4 linked regions of the Callithrix jacchus genome follow. The protein of the gene in region 4 interacts with the protein of the main gene of each other region in a pairwise test. Links are inferred from orthologs where the notes say so. Each region holds a gene or a part of one and is shown on either strand. Other genes may lie near its edges. The genes, in order: ATXN1, WDR5, POGZ and ZXDC.

Evidence for each region.
Region 1: the proteins of ZXDC (region 4) and ATXN1 interact in binary tests that used the Homo sapiens proteins (3 or more experiments, as listed by UniProt). The link is inferred for Callithrix jacchus from reciprocal best matches to the Homo sapiens genes ZXDC and ATXN1.
Region 2: the proteins of ZXDC (region 4) and WDR5 interact in binary tests that used the Homo sapiens proteins (3 or more experiments, as listed by UniProt). The link is inferred for Callithrix jacchus from reciprocal best matches to the Homo sapiens genes ZXDC and WDR5.
Region 3: the proteins of ZXDC (region 4) and POGZ interact in binary tests that used the Homo sapiens proteins (3 or more experiments, as listed by UniProt). The link is inferred for Callithrix jacchus from reciprocal best matches to the Homo sapiens genes ZXDC and POGZ.

What each region holds. Positions count from the first base shown.
Region 1 is NC_133505.1:13,912,651-13,918,196, forward strand, and holds the start of ATXN1 (ataxin-1), read left to right. Parts: upstream 1-2,387; 5' UTR 2,388-2,568; intron 2,569-2,996; coding exon of another isoform or gene 2,997-3,810; intron 3,811-5,546. Other genes in the region: uncharacterized protein LOC128931873, read left to right, coding at 2,997-3,810. UniProt on the Homo sapiens protein: Chromatin-binding factor that repress Notch signaling in the absence of Notch intracellular domain by acting as a CBF1 corepressor. Binds to the HEY promoter and might assist, along with NCOR2, RBPJ-mediated repression. Binds RNA in vitro.
Region 2 is NC_133502.1:182,702,002-182,707,444, reverse strand, and holds the start of WDR5 (WD repeat-containing protein 5), read right to left. Parts: upstream 3,494-5,443; 5' UTR 3,368-3,493; intron 3,029-3,367; 5' UTR 2,910-3,028; exon of another isoform or gene 2,712-2,909; intron 1-2,711.
Region 3 is NC_133519.1:11,336,461-11,341,310, reverse strand, and holds part of POGZ (pogo transposable element with ZNF domain), read left to right. Parts: intron 1-3,869; coding exon 3,870-4,045; intron 4,046-4,850. UniProt on the Homo sapiens protein: Plays a role in mitotic cell cycle progression and is involved in kinetochore assembly and mitotic sister chromatid cohesion.
Region 4 is NC_133516.1:76,883,312-76,888,161, forward strand, and holds part of ZXDC (zinc finger protein ZXDC), read left to right. Parts: intron 1-3,758; coding exon 3,759-3,940; intron 3,941-4,850. UniProt on the Homo sapiens protein: Cooperates with CIITA to promote transcription of MHC class I and MHC class II genes.

The sequences.
Region 1 (5,546 bases), on a different chromosome or scaffold from region 4:
CGAGTATGGTGTTTATGCTGGATCTTGCAGGAAGAAATAGTTACAGCTTTGGTGGCAGTTTATGGCTTTAATCTCAATGGCTAAGAAAGTAAATGACACATTTCTTATTAATTGTTTTTACCATTTGGGTAATATACATATTTAGCTTCCTTGAGAGAACATTTAAATTAATTGGCTAACTCTAATCTGAATTATGTGTTTTAAGGTTGCTAAAATCATGTAAATTAACTGGTTGTGCCAACATAATAATTACAATATTAGCTTTTTTAACGGAAAATTATCTAAATGTAAGATGTCTAAAAATAGAGTGGAGGTGGATTGGACAGTTTGCAGATTATGAGTTGGAATAAAAACATCGCAGTTAAGCCAAAAACATGGCAACCAATATTTTCTGTTATAAAAATATTTGAGATGAGTTTAGTTTTTATGGAAGCTGTCTGAAACTGACATGAAAAGTCCAGTAATAATACCGGCAGCATCTCCTATATACAAAGCCAACAAGCTTCTGCTTCTTTCTGAAGTCGACTTTGTCAAGTAGGGGGTTGGGGGCGGGGGTGAGGATAGGGGTGTGGGATATTTTACCCAGTTATGCTCTGACGCGCTAACCTTCACCTTGACAAAACAAAACCTATCAGAGCCTTTTCAGGAAACTGATGTTAACTGTCCACTAGAGGCTGTAAGGAGACCAACAATGTCACTTTAGACTAACCCGAGGTTTCAAACTGTAACAATCATCGATTTTTAAATGGGGGGGGGAGTTGTAGAAATGAGTAAGAGTGAACAGTAGTAGTTACATTTAAATAGCCACTTACATGTGCACGGCATATCAAAAATGTGAGAAAAAATATTTCCGGGGCTCTGCACTTTCCTCGCTCGTACGTTTATTATTTCAGGAGCACGTAGGCTCTTGCAGGCCAGAGTTGTGTAAAACCTGACACATGTTTTGATCATTCTCTGCCCTGCCTCAGTGGGTGACTAACCGTTAGGTCATAAGTAAACTCAGCCAAAAGGTCTCTCAAATACAGCTTACAGTCAAGAGCGGTGGCTTTCAGAAAGAAACTTACGCGAAGGGGTCATGTTTCCAGACACCTAGTTCTAAGCACCTGAAGGAGGTCAAATGTTGCCCGACACCTACTGGCCTTCCAGAATCATCTGCAGCAAAAACGCCACGCTGAGCGCCCGTAGTCTGGAGGCACCTCCCAGTCCTCCAGGTGCCACACCTGTTGGCAATGTTAGCCCAGCCGACGAAGATTCCTTCGCGTGGAGGTCACACCTGGCGGCGGGACAGGCGGAGGGGCGGGCGGGGTGGTGGGAGTCGCGGACCGCACTAAAACACAGAGTCCAGACTCAAGTTCTTCATCGATTCCCGAGAGCTGCCATTTGATGCTCCGGTGGCTTTCTCTGTCTCTTACACTGGTTACCTCATTTCCGATTAAATTAATGATCCCAAATTAGCTGCGAGAGGAGTGCGCGGGTCTCCTTTCCAGGCTAGAGCGGAGTAAGTAGCTCCAGATCGAAGCCGATTTCCGGACCTGCGGAGAGAGCGAGGGCACGGCCGGGCGTTCTCAGGCAGCGAAGGTGAGGGCGCCTGTGCAGTCGGGGGGCCCGGGAAACTTTGCGGAGTTGCACGCAGAGGCAATCCCCGAGGCCCCCGGGCCTGGGTTCCCGAACGCCGCAGCGACGCCGGTTTGCGGGTTAAATAACGTGCAGCTGATGATCGGAGGGAGCCCTTTTAGACGCGGCTCGGGGCGCCGGGGACCCAGGGCACGTTGGGATTAGAACCCGCCGACCTCCCCTCCCCCCTGGGGTGTTTCATTGGCTGCCAGCTGAAGCCTGACACCCCTTGGGGGAGTCCCCCAGGTTGCCTGAGCAGCGCCCCGCGGTCGCTCGGTCCCCTCCAACTAGGTGCAGGGACCCAGGGAGGCGCTCGAGGACCGACCGGTCACCGCTCCAATTACCTCATCGCGCAGCTCCCCGCCCCCTTCCCAAACCTGGAAGGAACCTTGCCCTCCACCCCGCTCCTCCCCTCCCCCGCGGCCCGTCCCGAGCCACTCTTGGGGAAAGGTGCCCGCCTCCCCGGGCCGCGCGCCGCGAAGGGTTAAGGGCGCGGGCCAGCCGCCGCGCGGTGCGCTCAGGGCTCGGTGCTGCTCGCCGGGCCGCCCGCCAGAGGGTGCCCCCCACCCCCATGAAGTCGGATCCTTGAGCTGCGGCGGCGGCAGCCAACTGCTCCATATTTGGCTTCTATTACACATTTACATACTGGAGCGAGCGAGCGAGCGAGCGAGCGCGAGAGAGCGCGAGGGAGGGAGGGCGGAGGGAGGAGGGAGGGGAGGGAAGCGGGAGGAGGGGGAGGAGGAGGAGGAGGAGGAGGAGGAGGAGGAGAGAGCAGAGTATACCGCAGACATCATTTCTACTACAGTGGCGGAGCCGTACAGGACCTGTTTCACTGCAGGGGGATCCAAAACAAGCCCCGGGGAGCAGCAGCCAGAGCAAGAGCAGCCGCCAGACATTGTTTCTCTCCCTCTGCCCCCCTTCCCCACGCAACCCCAGATCCATTTACACTTTACAGTAAGTGGCTATTTTTTTTCCTCCTCTGATTCTTTTCCCCCCTCCCCCATCCCCTTCTCCCCTTATTTAGATTAAAATCCCTCCTCTCCCTATCTCCCGAGAGGGGCAAAAGCAACAACCAGCAAACAAACCCTAAAACCCCAATCGGCTGCACGGAAAACAGCTGGAAGAGGAGCGAAGGGAATCGACGCGTCGTGTTGTGTGTGTGTGTGCGTGCGTGTGTGTGTACATACAACCGTCCCCGGTTCCAGGCTCCCAGGCCGACACCCCCACTCTGGGCGCAGGGGCGGCCGTTCGGGGGGGCTGTCAGGGGCCGGGTGGGCGCCCGCCGGGCTAGGGGGCGCGCCCGGGCGGGGGGCGCGGGCAGGGAGAGCGGCGGCGGCGCCCCGCTCTGGAGACTGCTGGTCCGGTCGCGAGTGCCGAGAGCCATGTCCTCCTCCCTCCGGGTGGCGCAGGGGGAGGCGGCGGCGGCCGGGGTGGGGGGCTGGTCCCTTTCCCGGCCGCCCTCTTCCCATTCCTCCTCTCCGGAGAGGGCGGTGAGAGAGGGGGGGTCTCGGGGAGGGCTGCACTTCCCCGCGGGTGGACGCCCGGCCTCGGCGCCCCTGGGCGAGGGTCTTCCCTCCGTGGCCGGCCTCGCCGGCTGTACGGCTGTGGGCTGGGAAGGGACTGCTCCAGCCAAGGGGCCGGGACTTTGCGCTCGGCCGGGTGCCAGGCGGGGGGCGCGGAGGGGTGGCCTCGGGGACCCCGCGGGGGTAGCGGGTGTGCGGGTGCCTGGAGCGCGGCTGGAGTGGCGGTGGCGGCCCTGGCTGCCGCCGCCACCGCCGCCCTGTTGGTGCGGCCGCTTCCTGATCCTGTGCAGCGGCCGCCGCCGCCCGGAGCCGCGAGCCCGCGAGCGCCCCAGTCCGGGCCGGCGCCCCTGCCAGCGCCCGCGGCAGGAACCGAGGAGCCGCGGCAGGCGCTGCCCGGAGCCGGGAGTGAACGGCTGCGCGGCTGCTGGGAGGGTGAATGAAGCCAGGAGGAGGGGAAGGAGGAGGAGGCGGCGGCGGAGGAGGAGGAGGAGGCGCTGCGGGGATTGGGATGCGCCCTGGAGCCCCGCTGCTCGTTCACTCTGGGCCGGGCCGAAGACTCTGCCACTCCCGGGGCCGGGGCCGCCGCCGCCGCCGCCTCCTACGTGGTTCCAGCGCTGCGCTCAGGCCGGTCCCGCAGGGGGCAGGGAAGGGGGCCGGACGGGCGGAGCGAGAGGTGAGGCGGTGTCGGAGCGCGGCGTGTGAGTGAGTGTGTGAGTGAGTGTGAATGTGTATATGTGTGTGTGCGTGCGCGCCGGGCGGGGGGCGAGGGCTGTCGTGATGCGGAGGGGGCCCCTCCTCGGCCACTTGGCTGACTCTGCATCGCCCGACCCCTTCTCAGCCCCCCGCCTTCAGGCTGCCTTCTTGAACTCCGAGGCTGTGCTTTCATTTTATTTCAAACCACGTAGGGGGCTGACTGGAAGCGGTGAAACAATTCAGGTTTTCTAGGGAGATTGAGCAAGAACCTTAGCGGGGGGTGGAAGTAGGGTGGTGATCCAGACTCTGCCAGAAAACAAAACAAAACAAAAAGATCAGTTTCTAAGGACGGCAGGGGTTCGGTTCGAGCCGGTGGCTGGTCTGTTTTGTTTTGCTTTCTTGGTATTATCCTACAGATAAAAAGGTAATGTAAATACTTGAGAAGATTGGGAAATTGCTGAAGAGTAGTAAGGGCAAAAAAAAAAAAAAAAAAAAAAAAAAAAAAAAGCCAGTCGGAAGAAGCTGGTTATATAATGCGCGATGTGGCTAACAAGAAAGGCAAGCTATTTTTATTTTGTTTACCGTATGCTGTGCAGTAGGGACTCCTCCAAACTGGTTCTGTCCCCGAAGAGATTCTGAGCTTCCCTGTGAGATCCACAGGATACAATTAGCAAAATTAGAAGACCCTATTACACCCACAGAATAAAAACTGGTGCCTTACAGTGGCTTTCTGCCTGCACATTCGTGCATGCACAGGAATGTGTGTATGCAAATAAGTTCTCCTTTGGCAATCTAGTAGTGCACATCTCAATGACATTTGCGTTTTATAATGCAGGCTGTTTTTAATATTTAAACATTGTCGTTATATATTGCACACAGCAGTGGGTAGTTACTTGGTGGTTATTTTTAGGCATAGCTACTTTTTCAACAGTGTTAGCTAAGACATTTCCGTTTGGGTTTTTTAGGAGGCTGCAGTTCCTAGAAGCCCCCGTTAAGCCCACCCTTCGGTTTATTTGGTGGGTAAAGGTAGTTTGATACTTAGGCTTTTTTTTTTTTTTTGGAATGAAGCTTATGCCTGAGGAAACCACCAGAGAGAAGAGAAAATCCTGCACAGGAACTCTTGGAAAGGGATTGCACCATAACGGCTAATGCTGTGGCACTTAATCTCCTCTGATTGCCCTCTCGCTGTGCATGCATCAGTCAATATTTTAGCAGCTCTGCAAATAAATGGACTTGAATGCCATCTTCTACATAAAGCAGAGGTTGAAGGGCTCCCTTGAACCTCCTGGCTGGCTGTCAGTGGTGTAGGTTTTCAGTGCACTTACTCCAGCCCTGATCACTCATGTAATTAGATCAGGCTGCCATGGCAACAGACAGTGTTCCTCGTCCATTCAGGTGGGTTTGTCTTGTGCCTGAACTACTCCAAATGTTTTATGCACAGCATTTATGCTGCCCAAGCTAGACGAAAGACTCCACTATTTCAATTGCATCTTCTTTCAGTCATTTGGATGGGAGACACTGAAGGAGGCTTCTAGCTACTCAACTTTTATAAAGGAGACCAACAAGCTGTTCTTCCTAGGTGCAGTATGTAAATGCGTCTCCCCATACAGTGAAAGGAGCCTGACAATCCTGCTGGTGTTTATTGTGAGCAGATCAACAAGTATTTGGTACTTGTTAGAAACCTTTCAGAGCTTACTAAAGCAACATTTCTTTTGC
Region 2 (5,443 bases), on a different chromosome or scaffold from region 4:
ATGCAGCAGTTTGTGCAAACAAAATGCAATTTTCTTCAAAGAGCCCTGGACACGGCTGGGCGTGATGGTTCATGCCTATAATCCCAGCACTTTGGGAGGCTGAGGCAGGAGAATCACAAGGTCAGGAGCTTGAGACCAGCCTGGCCAATAAGGTGAAACCCCGACTCTAGTAAAAATACAAAAAAAAAAAATTAGCCAGATGTGGTGGCACGTGCCTGTAATCCCAGGAGGCTGAGATAGGAGAATTACTTGAACCGGGAGGTGGAGGTGCGGTGGGCTGAGATCGCGCCATTGCACTCCAGCCTGGGCAATAAGAGTGAACTGTCTCAAAAAAAAAAAATAAAATAAAGCCCTGTACATATTATAAAAAGAACAGCAAAAGGTTTCCTGACAGTAAGCTAACATGCCAAATGACAGAAGATGGCTTCAGGGTGCAGAAGTTTGGGAGCACAGCCAAATCCTAAAATGCACCCACTGATGCAATCACATTCACAGCCAAGCTTGAAGGCACCCAGCGGTCTGCGCCTCAAGGGTGGGCTCCGGTGCCTCCATGCACAGGCTGCAGGCACCAAGCTGCCTTCCAGAATGCTAACAGCTCACAGGCCTCGCCCCCAGTGAGGAGCTACAAAACTCAGCAAAGAGAGCAGAGCGAGCCAGAGCCAGCTCTGCCTGCTGGAATTCCCACAACCTGCCTTCTGGAAAAGCAGCCTCAAGTACACCAGGGATATTCTACGAGCAAGACCAACATGCAAGGGAATGAAAAAAGACTGTTTCAGCTTGACAATAAAATTTACCCAAAATCTCTCTAGTAAGCAGCTAGTTTCCTCCATCTCGAGAATAGATCCATTACTTGAATACGTCTCATAAAAGCACAACAGGTTATTCTGAAAGGAGGCACAGCATCACTAAAAAAGCAAGCCACTGAGACATGCTTGCAAATACCACTGGCCATCAGAATTCTGGAAGCTAGCACCACCATCCATCTAACGAGTTTACACACTGTACGTTCTAGTTTGCAGCTTGAAACCGAAATCTTGCAAGGCTGCTTGTAACATTAAGGTGAAACGGAAGGCATCAAAAAGAGTCTCAAAGTCTTGATGCAAGAGGAAGGCAGAGAAACTACAACACCCACTTTCCAGAAAACAGGTGTGGCCACAGATCCATTTCGCCTGCAGCAAAGATTCCCTTCGAAAGGATGGATCACGATGCATCTAAAGCCTGAGCATCACACACTCTCACACACACACATACACACACACACACACACACACACACACACACACACGAGTGGGGAAGGGGAGGGGCAGGCCCTGTAGAGCTGCCCAGAGTACAAAGTGCCAGTACAAAGCCAGTCCTCGGTAAATGCCGGCTACATGGTGCTTGTCATAAGTGCAACCTGGCCATGGCAATTTAACCCAACTGCTGCCTTCTCCCTGGCACGCTGGACAAGTACAAGGAGAGGGAGGAGCTACGGAAATCCAAGCAAAAAGCTGCAAAGTCCACTGCAAAGGTCCTAGCCGGAGACAGCCAAGTCAGGGCAAGAGCTGAGTGAAGTGTGGCCGTTCCCTACCCAAGTGAAACACCAGAGGAACAGAAGGCAGAACCGGCAGCTCAGAGGGCCGAGCAGCTCCAGTCAGCTGTCTACTCACCTAGGTGAGTCCAGATGCCTGAAACACCCTCAGGCAAGGCGCAGCAGACTGGCGGTCTTACAAAAGGAGCTCAACCCCTCCCAGCTCAGGCCCACCCACCCCACCCTTTGGGCTCTAAAAACATTAACAAGTAAAAGAAACAAAGAAACAAAAAAAACCCTTAACTTTAACATGCCTTTTAAGAATAGAGTTTCTTGACACTACACACCCACCAATTTCTACCTCAGTGGTGGGGTCTAGGCTTGAAATTTTCTTTTTTTTTTTTTTTTTTGGGTCGAGGCTGGAGTGCAGTGGCAAGATCTTGGCTCATTACAACCTCCGCCTCCGGAGTTCAAGCGATTTTCATGCTCAGCCTCCAGAGAAGCTGGGATTACAGGCGAGCACCACCATACCCGGCTAATTTTTTGCATTTTTAGTAAAGACGGGTTTTGCCATGTTGCCCAGGCTGATCTCGAAGTCCTGAGCTCAGCAATCTGCCTGCCTCAGCCTCCCCAAGTGCTGGATTACAGGTGTGAGCCACCACACCCAGCCCAAAGCTTGGCATTTTCATAAACACCCAGGAGTTTCTGTGAAGAATCACTTTAAGGGAACAGGAAGGTTGGCGACTTGATGCTGAAAAAGTGGGGGCCAAGAAGGTTCCATGCACGGTGATGAGGAGTTGACCGCCCCCGCCCAGGTGCGGCCTGGCTCCTCCTAGCAGCTGCTGCTTTTCATCCAGGTAAGCCTGACCACCTGAAGCCCAGCAACTAAAGCTCAGTATGCTCTCCTGGGCTGGATGCCACTGGCGGATTCCGGAGTCCCTCAGTCCCCAAGGTGGAGCCCAGGAATCGGCCTGCGGCATGCTGTCCAAGAGAGCATGCTGCGTGCAGACCGGAATGAATGTGCATCCCAAACAGCAGCCAGGTGGCCGGCCCGACAGCGGTGGGAACCCGGCGCTGCGCATCTCAGGTCCTGGACGGGCTCCCGGCCTGGGTCCTTCGCTTACCCATCTGTCTTCCCCACCGGCTAGCACCGCACCTGCCCAGGTCACAGCGTAAGCATTTGGGAGATAGGAAAACAGACCTGGGTAGCTGGAAACTTGCCTGCGAGACAGCAGGGAGGGTCGTTAGCGGGAAGTAACAGCCCAACCTCCGTCTAGTCCGGGAACGTAACCGCTCAAGATGGCTCTCGCAGACCGGCCAGGACTGGTCTGCGGCCCCGCGCGAGGAGGAGCGGGGGACCCTCCGTTCAGGAGCGAGGACCCGAACCCCAGGACCCCACCTAGCGAGGTGCAGCCTGGCTGCCTCCGGTTGGAGTGAGCGGCGGGAGCGGGCTGGGGCGTTTCTACGAAGGGAAGCGCCACGTCCGGGGACTGACTGGCTCGTGGGTCTGGTCCTTCCCTGGAGATGGAGGAAGAGGAGCGATGTGAGGCCGGGCGCGCCGCCGAGGGAGAGGCCCCAGTACCGGCGCTCGGGCCTTGTCAGCGGCCCGCCAGGGAATCGGAGGTGGGAGCGCCGGTGGGGGCGGGCGGGGTGCAGGGGCCTGCGCGCGCGGCCGTCCACCGAGGAGCCCGTGAGGGGGTCCCGGGCGGGGCCGCCGCAGTGGGGGTAGCGCCGGGGGCTGGGCCTGGCCGGAGGCCCGGCAAGGAACACGTGCGGCGGCCGGGGACGATGTGAGGGCTTCTGGCGCCGTCCCACTCCCCGCCTCGTGCCCCCCGGGCCGGGCGGCTGCCCACTTACCTGTCGGGCCGCGGCGGCGGGGCCGGGCGCTCGGGACGTCGCGTCGGCCGCCTCCTGGGCGGGAGCGCGGACTCTGCGCGACAAGGCGGCAGCTCCGGCGGGCGCCAGGCGGCGGGGGCGCAGTGCGCGTGCGCGAGGGGAGGGGGCGTTGTCCAAAGGCGGGGCGAGCGCACAAAGCCCGCCTCTCGGAGAAGCGCTACGGGCCGCGGCTGCGGCCAGAATGCCTCGGGCAGGCCCAACGCTTTAAAGGAACCGCGCCGGGAGCACGCTTCCCGCTTTAAAGCTTTAATCCCGAATTCAGCTGCCGCAGGCCCTTCTAATGCACTTCCTAAAAATGGAAGTATAATAATACATACAGGAAAGTGCTAGTGTGCTCTCGCGTTTCCAAGACTGAGTACGCCCTGCACACTGGGACCAGAGGCCCTCCGGGACCCGCGCAGGTGGCGTCGCCTGGCGTTGTCCCCGGAATCGAGGCGGACCGGGGCACCTCCCCGGGCGACCAGGCCCCTTCTGGATCATCGCCGGTACGGATGACAGCGGCAGTGGGCGTTTGGAAAGCACTTGGGGCCGCGCCCGGGCGCAGTGCCCCCCATGTGGCCGCCTACCCTGGGCGGGCAGGACGACTCCGGCCCATTTAGAAGCCCCAGAGCCTGCGCGTTCACTGAGCTCGGAAGCCCGGGCTGCGCCTCCCCGCGGGGCCGGCTGCTCTTCCCGCCTCTGCTGGCACAGAGCCAGCGGTGCGCGCACCTGCTCCTCCCCAGCCCCGCGGACTGGGAGAGCCGCGTTGGAGACACCCGCGCCCGCTCCGCAGTGCGCAAACTCACTTTGCACAGGGCTCTCTGGGGCCAACCCTTTCCTCCTGGGCGGGTATTTTCACCTACGGGTACAAGGGGGTGGTCCCCAGAGGAGGACCCCGGGGCCTAGAAGGTGAGGCCCGGTCGTCTAGCCCTGACTACTGTGCATTCTCGCCTCCTGCTTCACTTCTTAGAGCCTTGGAGGTAGGTACGGCCTCCCTACCCGCTCAACTAGGCCTGTGGGAAGAATAACATGCAGTCACTTATTCTCCAATTTAAAATGGGAACACAGAATATGACACAGGAACCCGTGCAAACAAAGGGACAGAGCATTTGAAATAAAAATGTCCGGGGAGAGTGAGGTGTGCGCTTGTCAGAAAGGCTGAACCGAAAGACTGGCAGATGGTCTGGAATCCCCTTCCCAGGAAGGACACAGAAGGGAAGGTTCCTGTGTGGTCCGGCAGGGCTGCGTGTGGATCTGTGTGCCCAAAAGGCCTGGTCCCTTGGGCCAGGTGCCCTGGAGCATGGAACAGTGACTGTCACAGGTTAGCAAACCAAGCTCGGATGAAGGCCATCTCCATTCCGTCCACCTGGCTGCCTGGGCCAGAATCCCCGCCCATCACCTGCTGTTCTCCCCCACACTGCTTCAGATCTCAGATCCATCTACTTCTCCCCACCCCTCCCCACCCTAGCTCCCACCTGGCTCTTTTCCAAACCTCCAGACAGAGAAACTCCTAAAATTCCAGCTCTCATCCGTCAACTCCCCAGTTTAAAACTCAGAACCAGCTTCCCCCTGCCCTAAATTCCCTAATTCCCACTGCCCAATGCTGCTAAAGTGTTTACCAGACCCCGCCTCCTCTTCCAAATTAGCACCGCCTCCCAAACTGCAGCCCTGGTTCCAGCCCCAAAGCAAAAGTATTTCCAGTCCTTCAGCCCTCCGGGCAGAGCAAAATAAGGGACTGGCTCACAGAAGCCTCAGAACTCAAACCAGGTTCCCAGCCACCCCACCCTCAGGAGATAGAGCCTTCTAGTAAAAATGAGAAACTCCTCTAACCCTGTTCAGCGTTTTTGCAATCCACCCTGCAGTCATAGCTAAAATTCTGAACCCGGCCAGGCAGGATAGCTCACGCCTGTAATCCCAGCACTTTGGGAGGCCAAAGTGGGCAGATCACCTGAGGACGGGAGTTCGAGACCAGCCTGACCAACATGGAGAAACCCTGTCTCTACTAAAAATACAAAATTAGCCGGTTATGGTGGTGCATGCCTGTAATCTCAGCTACTT
Region 3 (4,850 bases), on a different chromosome or scaffold from region 4:
TCCTATTTTATTTAGCCCTCTATTTCTGGGCTTTAAGGGTGTGTAAGTAAACATAAAGAACGAAGGAAGGTCGGGCTTAGTGGCTCCTGCCTAAAATCCCAGCACTTCGGGAAGCCGAAGTAGGTGGATCACCTGAAGTGAGAAGTTCGAGACCAGCCTGGCCAAATAGTGAAACCCCGTCTCTACTAAAAAAATTAGCCAGGCATGGTGGCAAGGTGCCTGTAATCCCAGCTACTTGGGAGGCTGAGGTAGGAGAATCACTTGAATCTGGGAGGTGGAGGTTGCAGTGGACCGAGATCATGCCATCGCACTCCAGCTTGGGTGACAGCGCAGAACTCCATCTGGAAATAAAAAAAAGAAGGAAAAAAAAATCAATCAAAATAACTTAGAGGGAGAAACTTAGTTGCATACTTCCTTGATTTGTTGTTCTTAAATTCATAATGTGCTCGGTGCTATATGATGTCTGAAGAGCAGAAGAAAACTCATGGAATTCATTTTCAATGAGGTGGGTTGTTTTGTTTCATTTGTTTGTTTGTTTGTTTGTTGGGTTTGCTTTGCTTTGTTTGAGATAGGGTCTCACTCTCTTACCCAGGCAGGAGTGTAGTAGTGGCACGAACATGGCTGGCTCACTGTATCCTCCACCTCCCAAGCTCAAACGATCCTCCCGCCTCAGGCCCCCAAGTAGCTGGAACTACAGGCACACATCACCACACCTGGCTGTTTTTTGTTTTTTATTTTGAGTCTTTCTCACACTGCTGCCCAGGCTGGAGTGCAGTAGCAGGATCTTGGCTCACTGCAGCCTCCGCTGCCTGGATTTGAATGATTGTTGTGCCTCAGTCACCCAAATAGCTGGGGTTACAGGCATGTGCCACCATGCCCAGCTAACTTTTGTATTTTTAGTGGAGGTGAGCTTTCACCATGTTGGCCAGGCTGGTTTCAACCTCAAGTGATCCGCCTGCCTCAGCCTCCCAAAGTGCTGATATTATAGACGTGAGCCTTGTTTTGTTTTTGTGTTGGGGTCTCACTGTGTTGCCCAGGTTGGACTCAAACTCCTGGGCCCAAGTGATCCTCCTGCTTCAGCCTCTTGAATAGCTGGGACTACTGGTGCCTACCACTGCTCCAGGCTGGATAATCCTTTTAAAGGCTTTTTTTTAAAGTACCAGAATTCTAATTGCCTTTTCATCCTCTGGAAAGAGAACCTTGTAAGACACTTGAATTGTCAGAATTCCTTTGAGCTAAGGTTTAAAAGATTGCAGAAATTATTTAAAATGCTTCTAAATAAGCAGGTATAATTTACCCAGTGTGACTTTCCATAGTCTGGCTTTTGCTTTCCATTGAATCGTGAATCTAATCTGGTCTTTGAAAACCACTATTTTCTTTGTCCCATATTTTTGGAAAAATTCTAACATTCCACCAGAATTTAGACTTGACCCTGATATAAGGGAAAATATTTGGAGAAAATGCTGTTAACATTTTTTATAATGGTATTTATGGGTTTCATGGAAACCTGGTCTGTCTGTAAGAGACTTGGGAATGCTGATTGATTTCACATAAATGCAAAAAACCTCCATCTTTCCCTTCTTGTATTTAATTGGGATGTTGAGCCAGGAATTATCTTTTTTTTTTTTATCTTCCCAAACTGGATATGATAGCCGGGAATTATCTAAATGTTTTTTAGGATTAGGATAAACGAGATAATTTATTTTCTTTTGTCCTAGCAGTTAAAACAATGACTAGAAAATCCAGACTTCTGCTTAGTCAATGTTTTTCAACTATAAATTTCAAAAGGATAGAAAGAGATGGTTGGGGAACCTGTGGATTAAAAGACTTGAGTGTTGTTCATCCATTGCACTTTGCCAACATTTTGTAACTGGATTCAGACAAACGCTTTAAAAAATGCAAATAAGTAAATTTGAATTTTGACTGGGTATTTGATATTAAATGTTCGGGAGTTATGTTGGTATGATTCTTTATCTTTTTTTGAAATCCTTATGTAGGAGGTACATTTTGAAATATTTGTAGATGATATGATCTAGAACTCGTTTTAAAGTAATATGGGAACTAGTACATGTATAGGAGGTATAGATGAACTAAGACTTGCCGTGCGTTAATAATTAACGAAGCAGGGTGGTGTATAGGGAGGGGTTCACCGTAGTGTTCTGTTTCTTTGTATGTTTTAACTTCTCCATAATAAAGCATTTAAAAGATTTTAAAAACCCACCATCAATACATTGCCAGTATAATTTAACATGGATAGAACTTGCTGGAATTCTCTGTTTTATTTGTCTAGCTGCCTCTACAATCACTAGTCTTCTGGCTCAGTAACTGAGGGTCTAGTCTACTGATGAGCTCTCAGTTTCTGAGAGAGTGTGAGATGAGCCACTGCTGGCCCATTAGTAGCCACCTACATACCTATTCCTTTGGTGGTGTAGCTTTGTAGTTAACTGTGGTGATGGACCTGCCAAGTGGAATGTACATTTCAGAGGGGCCTGTCCTATTCTGGTGATTTTGGGTAAAAAGTTGAGACAATATTTTGCTTAACTCTTTGGTTTTTTGTTTTTTGAGACAGAGTCTTGCTCTGTTTCCCGGGCTGGAGTGCAGTGGCACAATCTTGGCTCACTGCAACCTCCACCTCCCTGGTTCAAGCAATTCTGCCTCAACTTCCCAAGTAGCTGGAATTACAGGTATGCACCATCATGCTCAGCTAATTTTTGTATTTTTAGCAGAGACGGGGTTTTGTCATGTTGGCCAGGCTGGTCTTGAACTCCTGGCCCCAAGTGATTCACCTGCCTCACTCTCCCAAATGCTGGGATTACAGGTGTGAGCCACTGTGCCTAGCCTGCTTGACTCTTTCGCCTAGGTATATTGGCTCTCTGAAATTCTCTATCTGGTTTTGAGTATTCTTTGTATATCAGGAAACTTAGTGTTGATTTTTGTTTTCACCAAATGTCATGAAATAGGGGACTTAAAAATATTTATGAAATTATTTTCTCACAAATGAAGAGTTGAAGATATTTCAGTAATAGCCCTGTTTATTCATATTTTTATTCATGAATGAATGATTATCTTCTGAAATCATGTCATTTTTACTTGGTGTGGGTTAGTTTTTGTCTGGGTCTTCTGTTTATCAGCCCTGATGACATGCAGAGAAAGGTGGTAGGTAGCCTGTCAGTCTCTGGGTCCCCTTCTAAAAGACAGTGGTTGCTTAAAGAATCTTGCATTTCTCAGATTTAACTTACTAGGAAGAGAAACCATTCTTCAGATTCTGTGTACTTGCTGAATTAATGTTTGTTGATGAATATTGTTTTTAAAGAATTAAGGGGGATTAGCTAACAAATTATATTCTAATAAAATAGGTTTTACCTAGTTAAAATATGGAAAAAGACTTAACATATTTTGTTCTGTGCTGATTTGGTGGGGGAGATTATGTGTGGTCACCTTAAATCATGAGAGTCAAGGTGATAGTCACATAGAATTCTAATGTGTCTTTCATCCCCAGTTAAGACATATGGGTGAAATGTTAGTGAACCTCCCCTACCCATCTGTTTTTCTGTTAGTTGTAGATTTGGGTGAAGCTTAAATTTTTGGCGAGTTTGGTCACATTAAACATGGTGAGTGTCAGTCTTGGATATTTTGGCGTCTGGGACATCATTTCTGTTTCTTACAAAATGTGGATTTGTACTTGGGAGGCTGAGGTGGAAATATGGCTCAAGCCCAGGAAGTTGAGGCTGCAGGGACCCATGACTGTGCCACTGCACTCCAGCCTGGGTGACAGAGCGATATCCTGTCTCAAATAAATAAAATAAAATGTAGGTTTAACATTCATTGTTTTTAACGTTCCTTTTTTTTCCCCCCGCTTAACCTTTTAGCTGGCAACCCTCTGGTCCAGCAAGGTGGACAGCCGCTCATCCTGACCCAGAATCCAGCCCCAGGTCTGGGCACAATGGTTACTCAACCAGTATTGAGACCTGTTCAGGTCATGCAGAATGCCAATCATGTGACTAGTTCCCCTGTGGCTTCACAACCAATATTTATCACTACGCAGGTGAGTAGGACTCTGAATTTCAAGGTTTCTAGAGGAGAGAAAGAATATGAACCTCTGAAAGCTCTGACTTAGGGTCTTTAGCACCATTAGTAGTAGTTCTAAGTCTTGTCTTTTGACCTTACTTTCTCATTTACCGTTCTGTAATTTGATGCTGACTGTGGAATGCCTGGTATAGCATGGTTGGGTAATATCCTCTTTAAACCCCTTAGAAGTTTATTAAGAAATTTGATTAAAGTCTAGGCAGAAATTAGTGGGAAAGCTTGGATTAGGAAGCCTTAACCCTTGGCTCTCGAGACTTTTCACCCTTTGCATGGACTGCTCCACTTCACATGGGATGAATTAGTTAACTTTTGGAGATGTATATATGTCATTGGTGGAGTTCATGGAGACCTTTGGAAGACAGGGAAGATGACTTATTTGATATATAATGTATCGAATTGAAGTTCAAAGTCTAATTTTGAATATGGATTCTAAAGGCAAATGCATTTCTTTGCCTGTGTCTTCCTGAGTTATAAATGCTTTTGAATTTGCCAAAGGTTTATGGTCTTCGAAGCAGACTTTGGGAACAATATCTTAGGATTGTTTGTATGTTGACTCACTCCAGTGAACACTGTTCTTCTCCCCCCAACACCCCGCACCCCACCCTCCCCCTTGTATTCATTTAGCACTTTAGGGAGCCAGTCTGTTGATGAGGTTTTTTTTAAACCTGATGCTCTCTTAAGTCAGGAAATAGGTTTTCATTTTTGCTCATGTGTACCAAAGCTTGTTCTCTAGTTTTGATACTTTGTCACTCAAAAGTTTGCCA
Region 4 (4,850 bases):
ATTACCTTCAGCCATCTTAAATGTTCATGACATAATACCAGGCTTCGGGGTGTACCGTTGGGGGTCTTAGGACAGAACACCCTGCCCAGGCCTGAGGGACAGCTCAGCAACAGGGACTCGCCCCCTCCTCCCCTGGCTGCCCTTTTTTCTCACAGCTGTTGGCCTGTACCCCTGCATCCTTTCCAGGCTTATCTTCCAGGTGCAGTCCTTGCTGGAATGGACTCTTCTGAGAAGGGGTGTCCAAGCTCATCTGCGGCAGGTTCTTCCCCCATTCCCCTGACAGATGTCCTTTTGCTTGCCAAAACACGGGGAGGCTATAGCTATCCAACAGACTTTTACCATGGTGTGTTGCATTGGAGTGCACACAGAAACAGGATATCCTTCCAGAGCACCAAACCCGGGGCCAGGTCCCAATACTGGTTTCAGGGAAGCATCCTGCAGAGTAATACCGACATCAAAACTTTCATGAGGTGGCCTCATCAGCTCCCCCTTCCTGTGCAGAGTTATCTAGGGGTGGATGCTGAGATGTTCTGCTTGACGTACATCGCGGAGGGGCCATGGGGCATGGATGGACATCTCTTGTTGAGAGTCCTCACCTTTGCCAGCCCTCTACTGTTGTCAAAGAATGCATTACTTTTAAGGAAAGAGCCCTATGTTTGTATAAGCATGTGCGGTTCTTTTCAGCTATTGACTTTTTATCCCCAGATGACTTGTTAGCTGGGAAGAAAAATACCTTCTGATGCTAAAACAGTACAAATTAGTGGTGGTGTTTGCAGGACTACTTACGACACTGAATTAAACGTGTGGATTTGAAGAGAGAAACTGCTGTGATTTTTTCATGTTGTATGCTAATACAGAAGTTGAAGCTAATTTAGCTTGTCAAGAGATAGTCTAGTTAGAGTCTGTCTTGTTTCCTGTTGTAAAAGTAATGCCATTAAAATATATTAATAAAGATAGAATCATTTTTGTTACTAACTGGTTTAAGTATAAAGGGAAGGTAATCATGGTGTCTAGCAACATTAGTGGAATTATTTCCAATTTTGCGCACAATTCTGAATTTTCCCATGATTCCAGTGGCACATGCTAGCACACATTTTGCAAAGGAATATTAGGATTCGGTCATATCTCTTGCTTCATAGGTAACGTAGACCATGGCCTACATGTTTGGCATTGAATCATGATAAATGGCTCAGATTTATCTTGATTATGTTACAACTTGATAATAAATATTTGATATACATCATTTAAATCTTGCCTGCTTTTAAAAGTAATCTGGAAAGATACACTATTCGATGCCTTCCTCAGTTTATTCTACAGTAGTTTTCCTAATATTCCTAATGACATGTTTCAGTATTTTTATCTGAATATAAAAATGAAGTCAGGCCTTTTATTAGAAAGCAGGCCTAATGTGACGACTGTTCTGCCTGCAGCACCGGCCCTGCTGCTGGGCTTCGCGGGCAGACAGTTCCCCCTAACTTGAATGAGTTCAGCCTGCAGCTGCAAAGTTGTAATGACACATGAGCATTTGATTTTAAAGAGTCTTTAATTGACAGGAATAGATGCTATGTCTAATTCTAGCAAGAAGTAATATTTAGACACAGATGCATGAACTAACTGGGCAAGAAAACCACCAGTCAGTCCCATTCCTCTTGAAAAGCATTTTCAATATGTTTGCTTTTAATATCATAATTATCTCTCAAAGTTTCTGATTTAGTTTGTTTTGATATATTTTGCATCAATATATATACTTGCAGTTATAACAATTCAAACCAAAAATTTTAATGCCTAGAAGTTAAATAAAATTTGTTTATGTACTTTTTTTTTTTTCCTTGAGATGGAGTTTCACTCGTTACCCAGGCTGGAGTGCAGTGGCGTGATCTCGGCTCACCGCAACCTCTGCCTCCTGGGTTCAGGCAATTCTGCCTCAGCCTCCTTATGTACATATTTTTATATGCTAGGGTGATAAAAGACTTCAAAGCATAAAAGCATTCAGGTAAAATTCTGGAGGTGAGTGGGATAGTATACAAGCTCACGGAGGATATAGGAACACCTCATTTTTTTGCAGTTGGCTTTATTGTGCTTTTTACAAACTGAAGGTTTGTAGCAACCCTGCATCCAGCAAATCTGTTGGTGCCATTTTTCTAGCAGCATGTTCTAACTTCATGTCTCTGTTGGCATTTGTTAGCCATAAAGTATTTTTAAATTAAGGTGTGCATTTTTTTTAGACATAATGCTGCTGCAGACTTAATAGACTGCAGTACTAGGAACTGATGTGAAGTTTCCTCAAGAAGAGGTGAGTTAAGTTTTGTGCCATAGGTGCCTCTTTTCCCCACACCCAGCCCTGTTCTCCTGTCTGAAGCAAATAGAGCAATTTAAAAAAGAGAAACTAGGTGTGGAGAACAGTCAGAGATAATCCAGAGCAAGGGTTGCTGGGTTTTCTGGAGCATAGAACCTGATGGATGAACAGAAAGAAGTATTTTGTAATGGAAGTGCATCTCCCTGCAGCGAGGGGGAACTGAATCTGTGTTCCCCATTCCCTCCTGGTTAGTAGTTGCGCTTCAACGAGAAAGAGCCCTGAGGCACCTGGAAGGGACAGCAGGCTGTGCATGAGTGCAGGGGACCCAAGGTTTGTGCACCCAGTTGGCTTGCCTGCCGAGTGTGAAGCTCTCAGGACCCAGGGCACTGCAGAAGACAGGAAGGGATCTGGAGCAAAGTGAGCGCTTGAGGGAGGCAGCTGTAGTGTATGCAGGGCAAGCAAGCTCTCACCCCTGGTGTTGCTCAGAACCTTCTGGTCAAACAGCCTCATAAAAACAGCCTGCCTTGGATAGCAGTCACCCAATTTAATGTTTTATTAGGAATGACTTGTATGATAGTCATTGTACAGTTGTTTTTTTGAAGCCATTCATAGCTGTGTGTCCAGGCAGGGATGTGTGGACAGAGCAGTGACAGCACCTCTAAGCTCCTTGGCACTCACCAAGAGCCAGGCACTATTCTAAGTTTCAATCACATATTTACTATGAAATCCTCTCCAAAACCTTCCAAGGCTGGGACTAGCATTCCCATTTTACAGGCAGAGGATGCTGAGCCCCAGAGCTTGAGTTCCTTATCCAGATCCCTGGAGCAGAGTGGGTGGCGGGTCAGGGTGAGCCTGGCTCAGGTCTCTGCAGCGCGTACTCTAGGCTACCTCCAGGCCTTCCTGAAGCAGCTTTCCAGTTGTTCTGGGTGTTAAGATTTTTCCTTTTTTCTTTGCACTTTACATCATTTTTTTAAGAAGCATATATTTGTAAAGCCAGTGGAGTAGTGACTTGAGAAGGAGCTGGACAGAGGCAGCAGTCCACTAGCAGGTGGGATGTGGAGACCTCCTGCTTCCTTCCTGTTCTACGATGCTGTGGCTCTGGGCCCTGGGCTGTCCTCAGTTGTGCTCAGGATCTCCTGCTGGCCAGGAGCTGTTGGAGTTAGAGGATAAGGAAGTCTCTGCTTTCCAAGAATGTGCAGCTTAGGTCTGATACCATCTGGCAAAAAAATATGTGTGATGTTTTTACATGTTAAAAATCAAAATCCTGGCGGTTTTTGTTTGTATGGTTTTTTCTTCTAACATCTTGACTCGTGATTTTTCCTGATCAGTGATTTTAAGTCTCTTGGCTATGCAGAATGACAGTTAATGGGGAGGCTGTCTTCCCCATAGTGAGACCTCAGTGAGGGCGGGCCTGACTGGTAGATTATAGATTGGGTGTGCTGGTTTTTATATTTCATTTTAGGAGCCTCACAGTCTACTCAGAGAAAAATAAAAGAAGGCAAAATGAGTCCTCCCCATTTCCACGAAAGCCAGAGCAGTTGGTTGTGTGGGAGCCTCGTGGTGCCCAGTGGAGGACGGCCAGGACCAACTCCAGCAGCTGGGGTGCATTGCGGGGCGCAGGGCATCCAGGTCCAGCTGGTGCAGGTGAGAACTGGCGAGCCACACGGGCCAGCTGCAGGCTGGGTGGGAGGGTCACGCAGGTCTGAGAAGCATGTGGCATGCCGCGTCCCCTGCCCGCCCCAGGGCCTGTCTCCTTACAGTTCAACTCCTCCCGTTTTCCCAGCCTCTCCTGCTGCATCTGCTCAAGCTCTGAGTGTTGCTGGGATTGCGTATCCACTTCTGACCCTGTCTGTGCATGGCCCTGCGTCTAGCCCCAGGGCAGCTCATCTCCCCACCCAAGGCCCCCAGGCCTCGGTATTTTACAGCAGGATGAGATCTGTTTGAGGCCACCCTGCCCTTCTGCAGGGCTGGGGCAAAGGGGCTCCACAGGCCGCCTCAGCCACCCCATCTCTAGGGTGGCCTGCCTGTGGTGCACTAGCAGCCTTTCTATACTTGAAGGTAGTCCAGGTCTTTGCAGTGGTTCTGTTTTCTTTCCTACTAAACTGAGGCCCTCCAGGGCAGGCACATGCCCCTCCCAACATGTCCAGGCCACAGATACCTGCGGCTGTGTCCAGTTTGCAAATCTTTGAGCACACCCGCTTCAGCACCTCTGAGCCCACCTGCATCCTGAGTTTCAGTTTGAGGGGCCAGAATGGGGAGGGAAGGTGATTTGGAAAGATTTGAGGAGAGAAGAGATTTATAAGCTGGGGCTGTCTAGGTTTGGCCCAGGTGTGTGCCCCTCTTCACCACTCCACTCTGTAGTTTTTCTGTGGCAGGGGATGTGGTCACAGGCCCCGCAGAAGTGCGGAGGGCAGAGCTGACGCTAGCTGAGTTGGGAAACAGGCACGCTCATGGATTTGTGGGTTTGTAGTCCTAGGAGAGACTTCCGCCAAGGAAACAGGACCAGGGCTAGGGCTCAGAGAGGCGAGAGGAGGGGTGGCCTGGGCAGGGGAGG